Struthio camelus: one gene and its partner. The protein of the gene in region 1 purifies or fractionates together with the protein of each later gene. This does not show direct contact. Links are inferred from orthologs where the notes say so. Each region holds a gene or a part of one and is shown on either strand. Other genes may lie near its edges.

Region 1 (7,837 bases):
CATGTTGTGACAAATAAAGGTTGGAGTGAAAAGGTCAGAGGGAAGTCAGAATCCACGAGAACCACAGTCAACAGCTTGAGATACTGTGCAAGGAGCGTTTGAACAACAAAGCCCCTACTTCACCCGCTATTATAGACCAGTTATAGACAGTTCCGTCACCATGAAAAGACAACATACTTTAAGAACCATATCATTACTCAGTTACTTTAACCCACTTCCATTCAAACTGAGCAAGCCAAAAAGTCTTTAAATGAGGTTCTCACTAACAAGCTGCTAAAATACTAACTTCCCTGGAGAAGATTCAGGAGAATAATTCCAATAGCCAATTCCCCATTCTGACTACGGCGGCACTACTTGATCACACAGAGCAATCGGATGATGAGCACGTACAGTTCAGGCAGCCCTGCACGCATTCACATAGTGCCAGCACAAATGGTACGTACTTTGACAGGGCCACAAACTAAAACTGGGAAACTCTGCACTCAAGTCAAACACAGCTTACCTTACCTGGAACCAGGGTCCCACCACCACCAACAAATCCCTCCACAAGCCCCCAAATCAACTGCCACCAAAGGCTCCGGAGAGCTGTTTTCTCCTTTCCGGCCCACAGGCTTCAGCCGGCGCTTTAACAGCTATGAGACCCTCTGCCTTCAGCAGAAGCTTCCCATCTCCTCCACGTCCTATTATTAACGCTGCCCAAGTGTGTGAGTCTCCCGGACTCTGCACAGGATGTGGAAGGAAGCACCAAGAAGCAAAGGAGTAACACCAGGGAGTTCAGATTCCCCTCTACAGAGCCATAGATTCACGAAACCTAGCAGGAGACAGAAAAGGCTAGTGGGGAAGCGCACGCTCGTCAGCACAGGTAGGCAAAGCAGCGTATCTTTATACATATGCCCTGAAGATATGAAACAACACTAAATTACTGTGAAAGTAAATTAAAAAATAGAAGGCAGTTATAGTTCAAACAGAAATAGAGCTCAACAACTGTACATTAATAGAGATGTTACCAGATATTTATCAGTTTTAAAAGAATGAGACTCAGCTAGCTTCCAGCAGCACAGTTCTTGCGTGACAGCCTGAACAGCAGTACTGACGTGACCACAGCTTGTCGGCTACTGACAGATCGGGACGGTGAGCTGACTATCTTGATGCGTGTTGTTTGCGTGCACCATACGGGCACTCTGACACCCAAACGACAGGCAGTTTGAGTTGACCTTCCTTTAGTCACCACAGCAGTAGCTTCCAGGAGTCACACTTACTAACCCATGCCCAAAGCCAGCTAATGGGGAAAGTACTCTGCCAAGTCTTCACTTCAACCTGCTGAGATGGGTGGAAACCAGCTATTTGCATCACTGTCTTATATATTAACTGTCTGTTAGGTAACCTGAGGTTAAAACATACCTTTTTACAAAACGAAGCCAAGGCCTTGCACAGCCTTTAGGGATGGAGCCCCAAATTAATTCTGTGATAACAGACACGTTGGGAAAGAGAATTACGTTTCACCATTCCAAAACGGCCATGCTAGAACTCAAAAGAATTCATATAATGGACACCAGGCCTACGTAGTAACAGAAAACGAAATCTAAATGTCATTTGAAAACAGAGTTTAACAAAAAAAATCTACACATTGGAAACTGAGGTACAGATCACAGAGAACCGAACAGGGCGTCAAGCCACGAACCGGACGCTGGTGCCAGGACAACTCAGGATCACGCTCCGCCAAGCCACCCTTCTTTCTTCCTCAAGCCCAGGCCCGAGGGGAGCAGGCTGCCCTCAGGGACCGCTGCGCGCCTCGCGGTGTCACAGAGCTTGCGCGGAGTTTGGCTGCAGGCGGGCGAGGAACTCGGGCACTTACAGACCAGCCTGGAATCGCCCCTGAGTCACAAAGGGCGAGTGGGAGCCCTCAGGGGGTTCTCTTCCTGAGGGTTACAGGACTAAACGCAACCAAGGCAGGGGGACGAAAAAAAAAAAATAACACACACACGCACGCAACAGTTTTCCAGAAACACCCCGCTCTCCAAATTTAACCCTCCTTCCTCTGACCACCGCAAACACTCATCGCCTTTACGCTGATTTATACCTAAAGGTGGGAGCCAAAGGCCAAGACAGGCCGAGCGCTGACACTAGCTGCCTCATCACGAGAGCTACTCCCACTCCCACTCCCCCCCCGCCCCAAAATCCCCTCCCCCTTACGTGAGCCTCTTCCGTAATCGGAATAAATTAGCCACCAACAAAAAGCGGCTATGCCTAACAGGAACGGCAAGGCGGGCACGGCGCACCGGCTGCAGCGCCTTCCCGGGCGGACACGTTTCTCTGACATTACATAAGGGGGGGGGGGGGGGGAAGCAACCGGCCACCTGAGAGCTGGCTCAGCTCACTGAGTTTCTGGTCACCGGCGTTATTTAGGCAGAGGAGCGGCCCAAGCGCTCGGAGGTGCCTGCGCGGAGCCCGCTGCTATCGCCCGGCGGCGGCGGCAGCTTGCGCGGGGGCGATAACGCCGTGCGCGGCCGCGGCTCCTCCGCCCTGCCCCGCGCACCTGCCTGCGCGGGGGCCCCGCGGGCTCGGCCGAGGCTGAGAGCCGGCGGCGACGCCCGCCCCGCCCGGCCGCTCCCCGGGCAGCCGTTGCCCGTGGCGGCGCGCGGAGCCATGTTGGCCCCCGCCGCGGGCGGCGCCGGCAGGCAGCGGCTGCCCCCCGCGCGCACTCACCGTCCGAGCTGACGGTGTCGTAGGGGTCGGCGGCGGCGGCGGGCGGCGCCGCGGGCGGCTCCCGGTAGTCCACCCAGCTGAGCCCTTCCACGCTGTCGTAGTCGGCGCGGGGCTTGTCCTCCACCGGCACCACGGTGAAGTGCGGCATGGCTGGCGGGGCGGCGAGGGCTGCCGGCCGGACCGCGGCGAGGCAGGCGGGATGCGGCGCGGAGCCGGCGGCGCATTCCTGCCCCGTGCGGTCACTTCCTCTCAGGAAACCGCGCTCCTCAACTCCACCCATTCCCCTCCGAGCGGCGAGGCGGCGCGGCGGCAGCGGCGGCGGCCGCGGGGCGGGGAGGGGAGGGGGTGTCGCGCCGCCGGGCGGGCGGCGCTCAGCAGCGGGGGCGCGCAGGAGGGGTCGGCGGCTGCGAGGCGGCGCGGGGCGGGGGGAGCCTTCCCGCCTCGCTCATGTCGGCGGCGAGCGGGCGGGGCGGGGTGGCCCCCCGCGGCCCTCCCTCGCCAGCGCTGTTTTCCTGCCTCGGGGCGGCTCTGCGGCGCCGTGAGCGCGGCGGGCGGGGCGGCGGCGCCCCGATACCCCCTCATCACCCCCCACCCCGCGGGGCCCTGAGGGCGCCGCCCTGCCGCGCCGCGCCGCGCCCCGCCCCGCCGCGCGCCCCCTCAGGGCGGGCCGCGCCCCGCCGCCATTTCCTCGGTGCCGCTGCCCACCGCGGCCTCGGGCGAGCGAGGCTTTTTCGCGGCGCTAGGGAGGGCTCGGCGGCTGAGACGCTAGGGAAAATAAATAAATAGATAAACAAATAAATAAATAAATAAATAAATTGAAAGGGTCCTGTTAAGCTTTGAAAGCAAAGGGTGTTGGGTGAGCAGGGCTGGCGACCCGCACGGAAGAGCGGGGCCGTGGTGCGCCGTTGATCAACGGCAGGCTAACTGAAGGCGTGCTGTCAGCCTCTCAGAGCCGGTTTATTTTTAAGCGAACTGAACGTTAACTGCACACACCACAGCTGGCCCCGCTTCCTGCGCGTGCGGTGGCCTGTCACCCTATGCTGGCCCCCTTCACCCGCCACCTGAAACTGCCCGAAATAACGCGTCCAACCGAGCGGGCCAAGGAAAACAGGAAGCGCCTGGGAGAAGCGCGGGCGAAAACGTGACGCTTGGCCATCTGAAATTTTAGCCAGGGCGGAGGGCGTTTCTAGCCCTGCGCCGAGCAGGCTGCCTGGGTGCAGGAGGCGCCGGGGCGGGCGCCTCGGGGCGGCCGGAGCGGCGGGCCCAAAGCAGGGCCTCCTGCCCTCCTGTCCCCCCGGGAGCAAAATTCGAGGTTGCCTGCGCGTCTGAGAAAGCTGGGGCCAGCCCCGGGCGTCAGAGCCTGCGTTCTGTGTGGGGGAGCCCTCACCTGGGGTGTAAAGACGAGTTCGCAGTCCGTAACGCGGCTCACTGTCTCTGTCTGAAAGCTAGCCTTGGAAGCAAAAGGATCTCTTTAGCGTATTGAGTCATCCTCAGGAAAAAAACTCAAGGCAACAGCGTGTGTCTTCCACTATAGAGTATCAACTCCAACTTATTTTTTTAGATGTTTTGACTAAAAATACTCTTTACTCAAGAAATCGCTGTACAGTGACAACTAGATCCAGTGCTGATGCAAATTTTCTGCAGTAGTCACTTATTTTTCTAACACTGCTATTAGACAGCACTGAAATCCCACAGGAGTCTATGGAGGAACATAAACCTCAGAGCAGAGGAAGACAATAGAGTTCTATTTTCCCATTTCCTGTGCTCAGAAAAACCTTATTCTTAGCTTTCTGAATGTGTCCTGCTTTCTGACAAAGCAATCTTCACATCACTGAGGTCGAGAAACGTGTAATGAGCAAGAGAGAGACAGACAAGAAAGAGAACTCTCTGTTCGCAAGAACTAAGTCCACTTTTAATTAGTTGGGTTTGGAAGTAAACAAGAAGGATCCATGCTGTGGAGTGACTGCAGGCAAGGGGGATACAGGTCTCCCAGTTCACTTAACACAAACTTGCTGATAGACCACCTCTGGGGAAAGCCAGAACAATTGCACCCCTTAATATTGATCAGACAGGTGGAAAGACTTCTAAGACTTCTCTGTGTTTTTATATAATCTACATTTTAGTTACGTCTCTCTGCTCTGCTTATGGAAGACAACCGTGTTTCTTCATTTGGCTGTGGGTATCTTAATTACAGGCTCACCATTTTTAGAGGAGAAACGTGTATTTTCCTCTATTCAAAACTTACAGTATCTTGAAGACCAAGGGTGTGATTTTTTTCCAGTAGCTCTAAAATTAGCACTTCTGTAAATACGATCCCACTGAGGTCTGTAGAGTTCTACCAGTAACTTCTGTGAGCATATTAGCCCACTTCTGAGAATTTAGAAGCATTTCTCATCATTTTAGAAGCACTGAAGCTGACAGATTGACAACATGCTAGTGCTCCACTTAGCCCACAGTCTTGTCTCCAGCAATATTAGTTGCAGAGAGAGTTTCCAGAGGAAAGGGGAACAGTTGGCCAAAAAGCAGCATTTTCTTTTTGACCCTCTGAGGTTTAATTGGTGTGATATAATCAGCCGGACAGCGGCCCCCAAGAAAACAGGAAATGTAAATATTAACTGGTAGGGGACAAAGCAGAATTTTCTATAGGAGGAAGGCAGGACAAGAAATTGCCACTAAGCAAGTTAGTTCACGCTTAATGTCTTGTCGTCTTCTTTCCTGTTTTCCACTTTATAAGATTTTTGAGTGAAAGTATGATATAAATAAGGTATCCTAGAAACAGGGGACAGGGATTATAACAACTACATTTCAAGAGTTAATGTTTTTGGAGTCATGTATATTTTGGAGAAAGAATTAAACTAGGCACTTCTTTCTCATCTAGGTTTTGAAAGCAGGTCTGGCAAGGAGCTGTCTTTCTTTAGATGCCAAAAATGCATCTAGGCCACTGCAAGATGGTTTAGTATCATGAATTCAATGGCTCTGAAATTCTACGCCATGAGAAAAAACAAAAAAACCCAAACTCATGTACATATACCAGCAACTCCCTTACTTAGAATGGGAACTTTATCCAAACGTGAGAGGAGAGATTTGGCTCTAGGAAACTATTCAAGTTTATTGAAGCAAAAAAACTTATTTTGTCTAAAGACAATGACTCTTTAGTAGTTTGTGGCCAGTCCACGTTTGGAGGCAGGAAGTTACCTGTCCTTATCAACTCTGTTGTTTAGTATCTGTGTCGTAAGAGAACTGAAATTTCAATCTGGATGATGTTCAGCTTTCTTTTTTTTTTCCCTGAACACAAATCCTGATTCTTACTTACGAATGATATGAGTGACCATCACAAGCTTAAGAGTTGTCTGATAGGAGACAGGAATGAGACTAGATGATCTGGAAGCCATTTTTACATCAAACAACATTGTCTGTCTTCTCTTATTAAATAGCGGGGATGGAAATTACCTGTTTGCTACAAAGCTAAATGGAATTTGCGATTGCAGTTTCACGTGGGTACAGACTGGTCAGTGAAAACAAAAGAAAGAGCACAGAGAATGTATTCGTTTCCTTTTTTTCAAAGAGAGAGGAGAAATTGCTCTTCTCAGAAAGAAAGGCTAGTGGTTTCACTAGGAGAGACATTAAGGCCAGCTTAGCAGAATCAAGTCTTATTAGATGAGAAAAGGCCTGAGTTTTGGTAATTTAGTTTACGTTAACAGTATCAGTGAAGTCAGCAGCCTGAAGATCAGCAAATATGTGATCATTTCCTCTCCAGTACACCCTCAGGAACTGCTTTCTAAACTGTTAGTTTATTATCTGCAAAGCAAAGACCCAGTCCGGTTCCTATTTAGCAAGCCACTGCATATTTGTGAACTAACTTAAGTAGGCTTAAGCTTCCAGCTGAATGGCCAGTATGCTTTGGCGGTTAACACCTATGCCATTCAATTCAAAGGGAAAAGTTGTATGAGAAACTCATTGCCTTCTGGAAGGGTAGTCTGTAAACTGCTGAAGAGCCTAGTGTAAATCCTCAGGACAGGCAAGCGAGGTCAAATTTGTCTTGAACGCTTTTTATTACAGATGACAACACTCAAATAATAAAAAAAAAAACAGCTTGGCTTTTACAGCCTAGCATGAAATAGTGGTTGCACCCCCCCATTGGCTATCACAGAACAAAGTTGACTTAGGAAGCGAGGTGTTTTATCTGGTCCCTGGCAGACAGTAATTCACAGATCCTTGTATGCTGCTCATATCATCATCCTAGGAGGAAGTTAAAATCAAATTAAGATCATTTATTAGTGACCACTTTTAAGGGTATGGTAAAGGCAACAGCCTGCATCAGCCCACCCAAGGGGGTGTAGTACGCGCATTGGAAGCCCCTTCTACATGAGCTCTAGAGCTTTGCTTATGACTGACTTAGCAATATCTGATGTTAACTTTAATCAAACAGCAAAAAGTAATTCTTGTTTCATCTTCTTTTCAATGAAAATAATTTGTCATTGGTTTAGGGGTAGGAAAACCCAGCATCTGAAACTGTGAGTACAGCTTTTCTCATCTTCCCTTCCTCCTGAATTTAATGGGCGGAAGCCTAAGTTTAAATGAAATCATTTAATTTTTCTAGCTAGGAAAAATCATGCAAAAAAAATGTGTCATAAATTTACAATTCAGATAATGAAACATTTTAAAATTCATCTATAAAATTGTGTTGGCACTAACGTTGCTTGGATTGCTTTATGATAATATGCTATCATAGAAAGCTTTGCAGAAAAATTAAATGAACTTCCTCTAAATGAAGCTTTGAAATGCCTTCTTGGTGCACTAGCCTGCCTGGTTCCTGCTGTCATTACCAACCCTACCGCTACGTCCCCGGGCAGAGCATGGGGCACGCTTAGAGGTATAGGCATGGGATGCACAGGTCTAGAAGTCTAAGAGAGAACATCCATAGCTGTGTTTATCCAAAATACATAACATTTCTTGAGTGGAATACCTCCATTGAGATGCTTTAGATAATAATAGTCATATTGTATCTCTCTGATAATACAGACTAGTGTAATGCTTCTCTTTCTTTATCAATGGGACAAACTATGAAACTATAATTGAAACTGCTTGAAGCAATGGGAAAATTCTGAACTATATTACATGAAATGTATTA
Region 2 (7,938 bases), on another chromosome or scaffold:
AGCCTCCTGTCTCTTTCTGATAATTATTAACTTGGGCCATTTGGTGGATCCCTGCAGAGTGCAACCTGGTTTGGGTTTGATCCTTATGTTTCGCCATTCCAATAAAAGGCTGCAAACCCTCATTTACAGCCAAGCTCTGCAGTGCAGCAGCTGGGGCCAGATCCTGATTCGCCATAGCTCCAGCTACCAACTGAGACCTCTCCCTGGTGGTGTTGAGGGGTCTCCAAGAAACAATAAGCAGTGGATAGCTTGCTAAAGCTTTCACTCGGGCTCACTCAACAAGAGTTGTTGAACCTCCTGAGGGAGGCAAAGGGACAGCAGGCAAAGTCAATAAGCAGAGTACCATTTAGGATTGCTTTGAGAGCTGCTGGGTTTGACTCCAGGGGATGAGGCATGTAGGCACACAAGCGTGCGACGCTGCAGGGCAGGAAGGGGAATTGGTAGCACTGGCAGGTGACATGTGACCTGACCCAGCTTCTCTCTCCAAAGCCTGGTTGCCAGCTCCGGCCATGTTCGGTGCCCTCATTGACTCTTCCTGCATCTACTGGCAGAAACAGTGCACCCAGCGCAGGTTCTGCGTCTACTACAACAATGACTTCCTCCGCAACAGGTACATGCACGCGCTCGTTCCACAGGATCACAACGCGCGCGCACACACACACACACACACACACACACACATACACACACACACAAATGCACACACACACACACGGCTGCAGTGTTTCTGGCTAGGTCCACAAATACCCCCCAGGAAGGTGAATGCGCCATGCTCATGCCCCACGCTCATTTGCAACATCCCCTGAACTTGCTAAGAGGCAGTTTCTGGAGCCCAGTCTTGGGTGCTTGGGGCTCCATCCTGCAGAGATGTGTGTCCTCGTCAGGTTCACTAGTCATGTTGCCTCACCAAGAAAATCCAGCTCCTTTGGGATTATTTTCAAGGCAGAAATTGGAGGACAACAAAGCAGGTCCTTCAGTTCCCATGGCCCCAGCACACCTCTAGGTCTGGCTCCAAACACACAGGTGAAGCACAGGCCATGTCCTGTTGTAGGGGAAGAATCCTGCCCTAGTGTGTCCCACCACAGCCGCGCCCAAAGCTGGAATGAGAACAGGCCACAGCTCAAGCCAGGATGAGGCTAGCTGGACTCCATTTCCTACACAGCAACAATCCTATCTTTAGACAGAACAAGGCCCTGTGTTGCTCCTGGCAGGAATGACACTCTCCTCTTTTCTCTTGACAGATACTTAGGCCTGCAGATTGGGTACAAAGTGATAGGCACCGTGCTTCTTGTCCTCATCAGCTGGAAAGTGAAGAAGAGTAAGGAATACAATGTGCAAGAGAAGGCAGCTGGTCTGGTGTAGCCTGCCCAAGGACTGACTCTGAATGTACCTCCCCAACCTGCCTGTACCCACTACCAGTACTTTGTCAATGTTTTTTTTGTGAGGGAGCAATTTCATATTAGCAGCCAAGCTCCAAACTCCTCTACTGCAACTTGCACTGCAACGCACCTACCCAGCCTGCAGTGAAACATCTCTGTGCTCCCAAGAAGGGACTTCCCAGCCAGACTCTTCGGGAGGGCTGCGATTACCCAGCAGCAGCTCACCCATGTTACAATGAGAGCACTGCCTCATGCCAGCTCCGTAACCAACCCTAGCAGGGACCTGCCAGCGTGGTCGTGAGCTAGGTCATGGGTGCCAGGGCTAGCTCTGGACTAGTCGTGGCCAGGACTGGGTCCTCCCACATCCTTTGGCGGAGCCTCGTCCATCACTTTGGGAAGAGGACAGCCTCCAGCCACGATGACTGCCTCTTGGGAAATGCTGAAGGTTTGTTGTGAGGCAAGCAGGAACATTTGAGCAGTTACAGGTCTCCAGGAAGGGGTAAGGACAGGGGAGCAGGAGCTGGAGGAAGGTCTGCAGCCCAGCCTCATCCCTTTTCCACAGAGGTGCCTGCTCAGGGCAAAGAGCCTGCTTTGGCTCAGCATGTTGCAAGCCAGGCAATGTCTGCCTGGCTGGGACAAGAGTAGGGGAGAAGTCTGAGAAGCACTGGAGAACTGTCCCTTTCCCTCTCCCTCGCTGTACACCTCACACAGGTCACTGTGGACACGTACATGAATTGTAAAAAGTTATTACTAGTGGTTTATTACAGAATATGTGTTCATTTGTTTTTTAATAAACATCACTTTTCCAATTGTGGTGTTTTGCTGATCTCCCCGTGAGATCCTTCTCCTTTCACCATGGGTTAGGTTCCTGAGACGACTGCAGGACACATCCTAGGAGGTGCTGTTATCCCTCGCCAGCTAACAGGAAGAATTGCAGATTTGGTGCACCGTGTGTTTGGTGCTTTTCTATGGAAGAAAGTCTCTCCCTCTGAGCAACAGGCCCCGTTGGAGACCTCTGGAAAGGGAAGATGGTAGAGGTGTTCCTCGCAGTGACCTTTGTAGGTCCACCATGGAGCTCCTGCTCTCCTGGCCCCGGGACTGAGGAGGTTCTACAGAGCTTAGCACCTTTCAGATTACCTTTAGATAAGCAAGGAGTAGCTCAGCTCCTCTAGGCAGAAATCTAGCCCAGGTATTTGTTGTCACACACCCAACAATTTCACAGAATCACAGAACGGTTGAGGTTGGAAGGGACCTCTGGAGATCATCTAGCCCAACCTCCCTGCTCCAGCAGGGACCTCCAGAGCATATTTCCCAGGATCGCATCCAGACGGGTTTTGAATATCTCCAGGGAAGGAGACTCCACTACCTCTCTGGGCAACCTGTTCCAATGCTCAGTCACCCTCACAGTCAAGAAGTTTTTCCTCATGTTCACATGGAACTGCCTGTGGTTCAGTTTCTGCCCATTGCCTCTTGTCCTGCTGCTTGGCACCATGGAGAAGAGACTGGCCTCATCCTCTCGACACCCCCCCTTCACATAGTTGCACACATTGATGGGATCGCCTCTTAGTCTCTTCTTCTCCAGGAAGAGCTCAAGGCAATTTGCTATCAAGCTCAAGTCAAATCTATGCAGAGGAGCACATATCTTAGAAAGCATGGCCCTGAGAGAGGCAATGATAGCTTTGTGCCCATCAGCAGTTAAGTTCACAATCCTGTAGAATGTGTTTTCTAAACTGGCCATTGATTTTGAGTGTGTGACATGAGATACCTACAGAGGCCTGAAGTGAGGGAGAACGTCAGGAGGATGCTGAGTCACTATATGTAGTGTCTCACTGGCAGATCCTGGCTTTAAAAGCTGGCTCCCAGAGGGTGGGGGTTGACTCTTGATGCCTAATAAGCCATTTACCCTAATGAACTTGGCAGCTGGGCTCCAAACCCCAGAGCAGCTTGCTGGGCTCCCTTTAGGCTGGTGGGGCAGCGGCAGGTGACATCCGAGTTGGTTGGGTGCTGCTGTGGGGAGGCAGGCCACACTGCACGGAGCTCTGTATGGTGTGGCATCGCTAGGCAGGAGTCTTTGCTACCTCTCTGACAAGACACAGACTTGGTTCCCTTGTCTCTTTGGGTTGTTTCCTGACTTGGAACTTCAAGTTTTAATCCAGGGGTAAATCTCACCATGGCCTTTCCTCACGTAACACCATCTCATGCTCCTGTGGCCATGTGAAAGGTGCTTTGGGTCTGGCTGGGTGACTACCATGGCCAGCCAGGGGGAAGAGGAGCCTTCCCTACCCTCTGTGGTGTGGTGGCCTGGGCCCTCCCTACCTAGACCTGCACTGTCACTGCCATGAGATGTCACTGGTACCCTCCTGAAGGCCACCTGCACACTGCCGTGAGATGTCTGCAGGTACCTGGAGCATGCTTGGAGGGCGGGGGTGATGCAAAGTACCTGCAGTGCACAGGGCCCTCCAACATGGGGACCCCATAGCTTGCCCTTCCCACCAAGACTGCTTTGCAAAGCCCTATTTCACCTGTGCAGAGCCTGGAGCTGCCCTCACTGGGCACCCCATGGTCACTCAGGGCACAAGATGCTGCCCGCATGGGTTTGAGACGGGGCAGGGCTGAGATGGGGCCACTGAGGCAGAGGGTTAAAAATAGCTGGCATGAGCAGTGCCTGGATAGCCTCCCCACTTGCTGCTTGGATGAACTGTGCAGCACAGATCAAACGTGAAAGGAAGATGCTGAGCGCACTCTCCCCTCTTTTAGGAGGTTAGCTGGCTGCATTCAAGGCTATCTGATAAGGGCTGGTGGGAAGGAAAAGCTGGAAAAATCAACAGAAAGGGCTTGCCCCTTCTGACCTTGGGAACTGCTATTAAGCTGAGCCTCTTACCCTGGCCTAGCTGAGCTGCAACATCGCTGTGTTGCAACCCTGCCTCTGCCTGGCAAGGGACCCCCCTGCCTGGGCAAAGTTGGCCTGCAGCGAGGCTGAGGGGCCATGAGGGTTTTATGTGAGTGGGCTGTACGAGGTCCTACCCAATGGCCCCGACATCCTGCAGCAGCCCAATGGGCTGCAGAGCCTGCCTGTCATCCTTAACTGCACGCTGGGAGGGGAGGCAGGGAGGACCGTGCGGTTTCCGCGCCCGGCATGCAGAAATGCTCTGCGCGGGGGGGAGCTGCCCTGCTTCAAGCTGTTGCGGCCAGGGCGCAGCAAGAGAAGGAAGACTCGCGCAATTAAACGCAAGGACTTATTTAAATGATGCCGTGGGGCAGCTCTGCGCGAGTCCGTGACAGACGCCAAGCGCTGCGGTGGGAGAGGCAGCACCGCGGTGAAGCGTGTGTGACGAGCGCCAGGAACAGCAGAGGCGCGAGCCCGAGGGGCACCGCTCTGCACCGAGGCCCGGCTGAGTCTCCCAGGGGAGGCGCTGGGCAGCTTCTCCGGGGGCGTCGCTGGAGACCGCACCGCACCCAGCTCCGGCCGCCGCCACCGCCGCCCCGGCCCGGCCCCGCCCCGCCCGCCGTGGGCCCCGCCCCGCCCGCCCCGCCCGCCGTGGGCCCCGCCCCGCCCGCCGTGGGCCCCGCCCCGCCCCGCCCGCCCGCCGTGGGCCGCGCCGCGCCGCAGGGCCCGGGGCGGTGGCTAGCGCGGGCCGGCCCGGCTCGGCCCGGCACCATGTCTGCCGGCGGGGAGCTGGGCAACCCGCTGCGGAAATTCAAGTTGGTCTTCCTGGGGGAGCAGAGCGGTGAGCGCGGGCGCGGGGCGGGCAGGGGGCTGCGGCGGGGCGGGGGGACCGGTCCATGCTGGGGGGCTGCTTTGGGGCAGGGGGACCGGTCCATGCTGGGGGGCTGCTTTGGGGCAGGGGGACCGAGCCATGCTGGGGGGCTGCTTTGGGGCAGGGGGACCGGGCCATGCTGGGGGGCTGCTTTGGGGCAGGGGGACCGAGCCATGCTGGGGGGCTGCTTTGGGGCAGGGGGACCGGGCCATGCTGGGGGGCTGCTTTGGGGCTGGGGGACCGGGCCATGCTGGGGGGCTGCTTTGGGGCTGGGGGCTGCTTTGGGGCTGGGGGACCGGGCCATGCTGGGGGGCTGCTTTGGGGCTGGGGGCTGCTTTGGGGCTGGGGGACCGGGCCATGCTGGGGGGCTGCTTTGGGGCTGGGGGCTGCTTTGGGGCAGGGGGACCGAGCTGGGCTAGAGGCGGCCGCAGCGGGGCACGGGGTTGCAGTGGGGTAGAGATGGGGAGGGAGTGAGGCAGGATGGCGGCTGCAGTGCGTCAGGGAGCTGCAGTGGAGTAAGGGGGACAGAGTCAGGCTGGGGGAGCTGCGGTGGGGTAGGGGAGACCAAGCCAGGATGGGAGAACTGCAGTGGGGCAGGGTGCTGCAGTGGGGTGAGGGCTTGGGAGGAACCGATCTGGGCTGGGGGGGGGTACACATTGGGGCTGGGGGCTGCGAGGGGATAGGGGCTGGGAGGGACTGAGCCAGGCTGGGGGGTCGGGGGGACAGCATGGCAAGGGACTGCGGTGGGGTGGTGGGGACCAAGCTGGACTGTTGGGGCTGCAGTGGGGCAGACAGGATTGAGCTGGGCTGCAGTGGGGCAGGAACCTGGGGGGGGGACTGAGCTGGGCTGGGAAGGAGGCCACAGTGGGGCATTGACAGCCAGCAGTGGAGGCCCCGGGGACTGCCTGTCTTTGCCCAGAACGGTGTTAATTCTGCACGTTTCCCTTGTGGCCTGGCAAGGGGAGATGTGGGGGGCTTGCTGCAGCCCCCCCCCGTCCCCCCCGAGCCAGGTAGCAGGGTGTTGCTGCTGGGCGATTGGCTCTGGCTGGCCAGAGGTCAGGGTGTGCTCTGGTAGGGGGGATCCTCTCTGCCTGACCCATGCACTGGTGGGACAAGGGATGCCTGGAGCTTTTCCTGTGGACCGTTCAGGAGAGGGTGGAGGGTTTGCACCAGCTGGGATTACAGGTGAAGGACAGGCTGGGGTCCACCCTGATGCTAGCCAAGCAGCTCAGCTTTCCCTTTGGTGATCCCCTGCCCTATGCTCACTCCTTGGAGAGATTAAAAAGAAAGGAAAAAGAGATGGGGGGGGGGGAATGCTGCAGAGTGAAAAATGGTTTGGCCAATACATGGGGCTCCAGAACCTCCCAGCCTTGCTGAGATATTTTTTTTTCCTGCCTCTATTTTCCTACTCCTGAATTGCCACCTACCTGTGCAAAAGGAAAAATGTTGCAGAATGCAAGAGGATGTCACATGAAGGGCCTGACTGCCATGGGGCAAAGTAATGGTTTTATAACTTCCTCGGTAGCTCCATTTGCAACATCAAGGAAGAGGAATTGCTGGGCTTTACTGTTCCCAAATCGCATGGTTGCAGCTTGCTTTGTTTGTTTTGTTTTGTGTTTTGTTTTGTTTTGGATTTTTTTGAGCTAGTGTAATACATGGACAGTGGTCGTTTCTCAGCCCTTTTGGAAAAGCTAAAACGTTGTCAGGGTAAAGACGATAAAGGTTTGGTGCGTCAAACAGGGAGGATTTGGTGGCAGCCTCAGCAGGAGCCTGCTTGGGCTGCTCTTCAGTTCAAGCCGCCTGATTACAGGCAGCATTGCAGGCTGCTGCCTCCTTAGGGGTGAGCTGAATGACTTCTCGCCCGGCTGATGGCATGGTAGGCTGCTGGACTGCCCATGGTGCCCATCTTGTCTTGCCCTCTCCACTTACTGCTTTGCAATTTTCTGCAATTTCTGCCTTTTCATTGAGAACAGCCTTGTGCAACTGGTGAATCCCATGGAGCCTCTCCGGATGATTTTACTGCCATATGGGCAGCAATTTTTTTTTTTATTTTTAAAGCAGCAAAAAGCTCCCAGATGTACCTTCTGGTGGCTGTGCTGTCCGTGTAGGACATTGCCCGGCCGCAGTCTCTGAGCTGCAGGATACCTCACTCGTTAACAGGGAGTGCTGTAAATACAGCCGATCCCTCATAATAACCATTTGTATTTCAACTGCACAAGACCTTGCTGGATCAGGATAGGAGGTGACAATACACCCTGCCTTCCCCAAGCATCCTGGAGAAGACCCTTGTTTGCATTCTCTGCTTCTGAGCTTTGTTCCCATATGGAACAAAAAAGGTCCCTCTACCCAAGCACCAACCCTTTACCCTGTGGCATCCAGAGCCAGCTGCAGCTAGCAAGCTGTCCGATGATAATCTGCAGATGGATGTCTTCAAAGCAAAAGAATTAGCCTGCATTTTCACAGCGTTCCTCTTCCTCCCCCCATCCATGCGCTCAGTATGGGGAGACAAATTCATGAAACAACAGTCAGTCCCTGTGGAGAGCTAGCTAGGGAAGTTGGATGCTTTTTTCCCCCCCTTTCTGAAATGTGTGTACATGCAAGACCTTTGCTGGGGTACTGGGCTCCTGATGTTTCACTCTGGCGACAGTTGTGATTCTCCCAGTGCCGTGAGGACCATGGGCAGGAAAGGCCCTGGTGTGCAGTTGCAATGTGGTTGCAATGCTGATCTCAGTTAATGGCATTCTAGTAAAGTGAGCACTCTGGATTTCTTCTCTAGGGACTGAACCTGTCATGTGCGCAAA

Evidence for each region. The genes of interacting proteins can lie anywhere in the genome.
Region 2: the proteins of SLC12A4 (region 1) and RAB6B purify together in Homo sapiens (co-immunoprecipitation; 3 studies listed by BioGRID and IntAct, with this or other methods). This does not show direct contact. The link is inferred for Struthio camelus from reciprocal best matches to the Homo sapiens genes SLC12A4 and RAB6B.

The regions. Positions count from the first base shown.
Region 1 is NC_090951.1:20,533,366-20,541,202, forward strand, and holds the start of SLC12A4 (solute carrier family 12 member 4), read right to left. Parts: upstream 3,002-7,837; 5' UTR 2,987-3,001; coding exon 2,707-2,986; intron 1-2,706. UniProt on the Homo sapiens protein: Mediates electroneutral potassium-chloride cotransport when activated by cell swelling. May contribute to cell volume homeostasis in single cells. May be involved in the regulation of basolateral Cl(-) exit in NaCl absorbing epithelia.
Region 2 is NC_090950.1:2,735,784-2,743,721, reverse strand, and holds the start of RAB6B (ras-related protein Rab-6B), read left to right. Parts: upstream 1-4,930; 5' UTR 4,931-5,037; coding exon 5,038-5,107; intron 5,108-7,938. Other genes in the region: SLCO2A1 (solute carrier organic anion transporter family member 2A1), read left to right, coding at 490-610, 1,242-1,362. UniProt on the Homo sapiens protein: The small GTPases Rab are key regulators of intracellular membrane trafficking, from the formation of transport vesicles to their fusion with membranes. Rabs cycle between active GTP-bound and inactive GDP-bound states.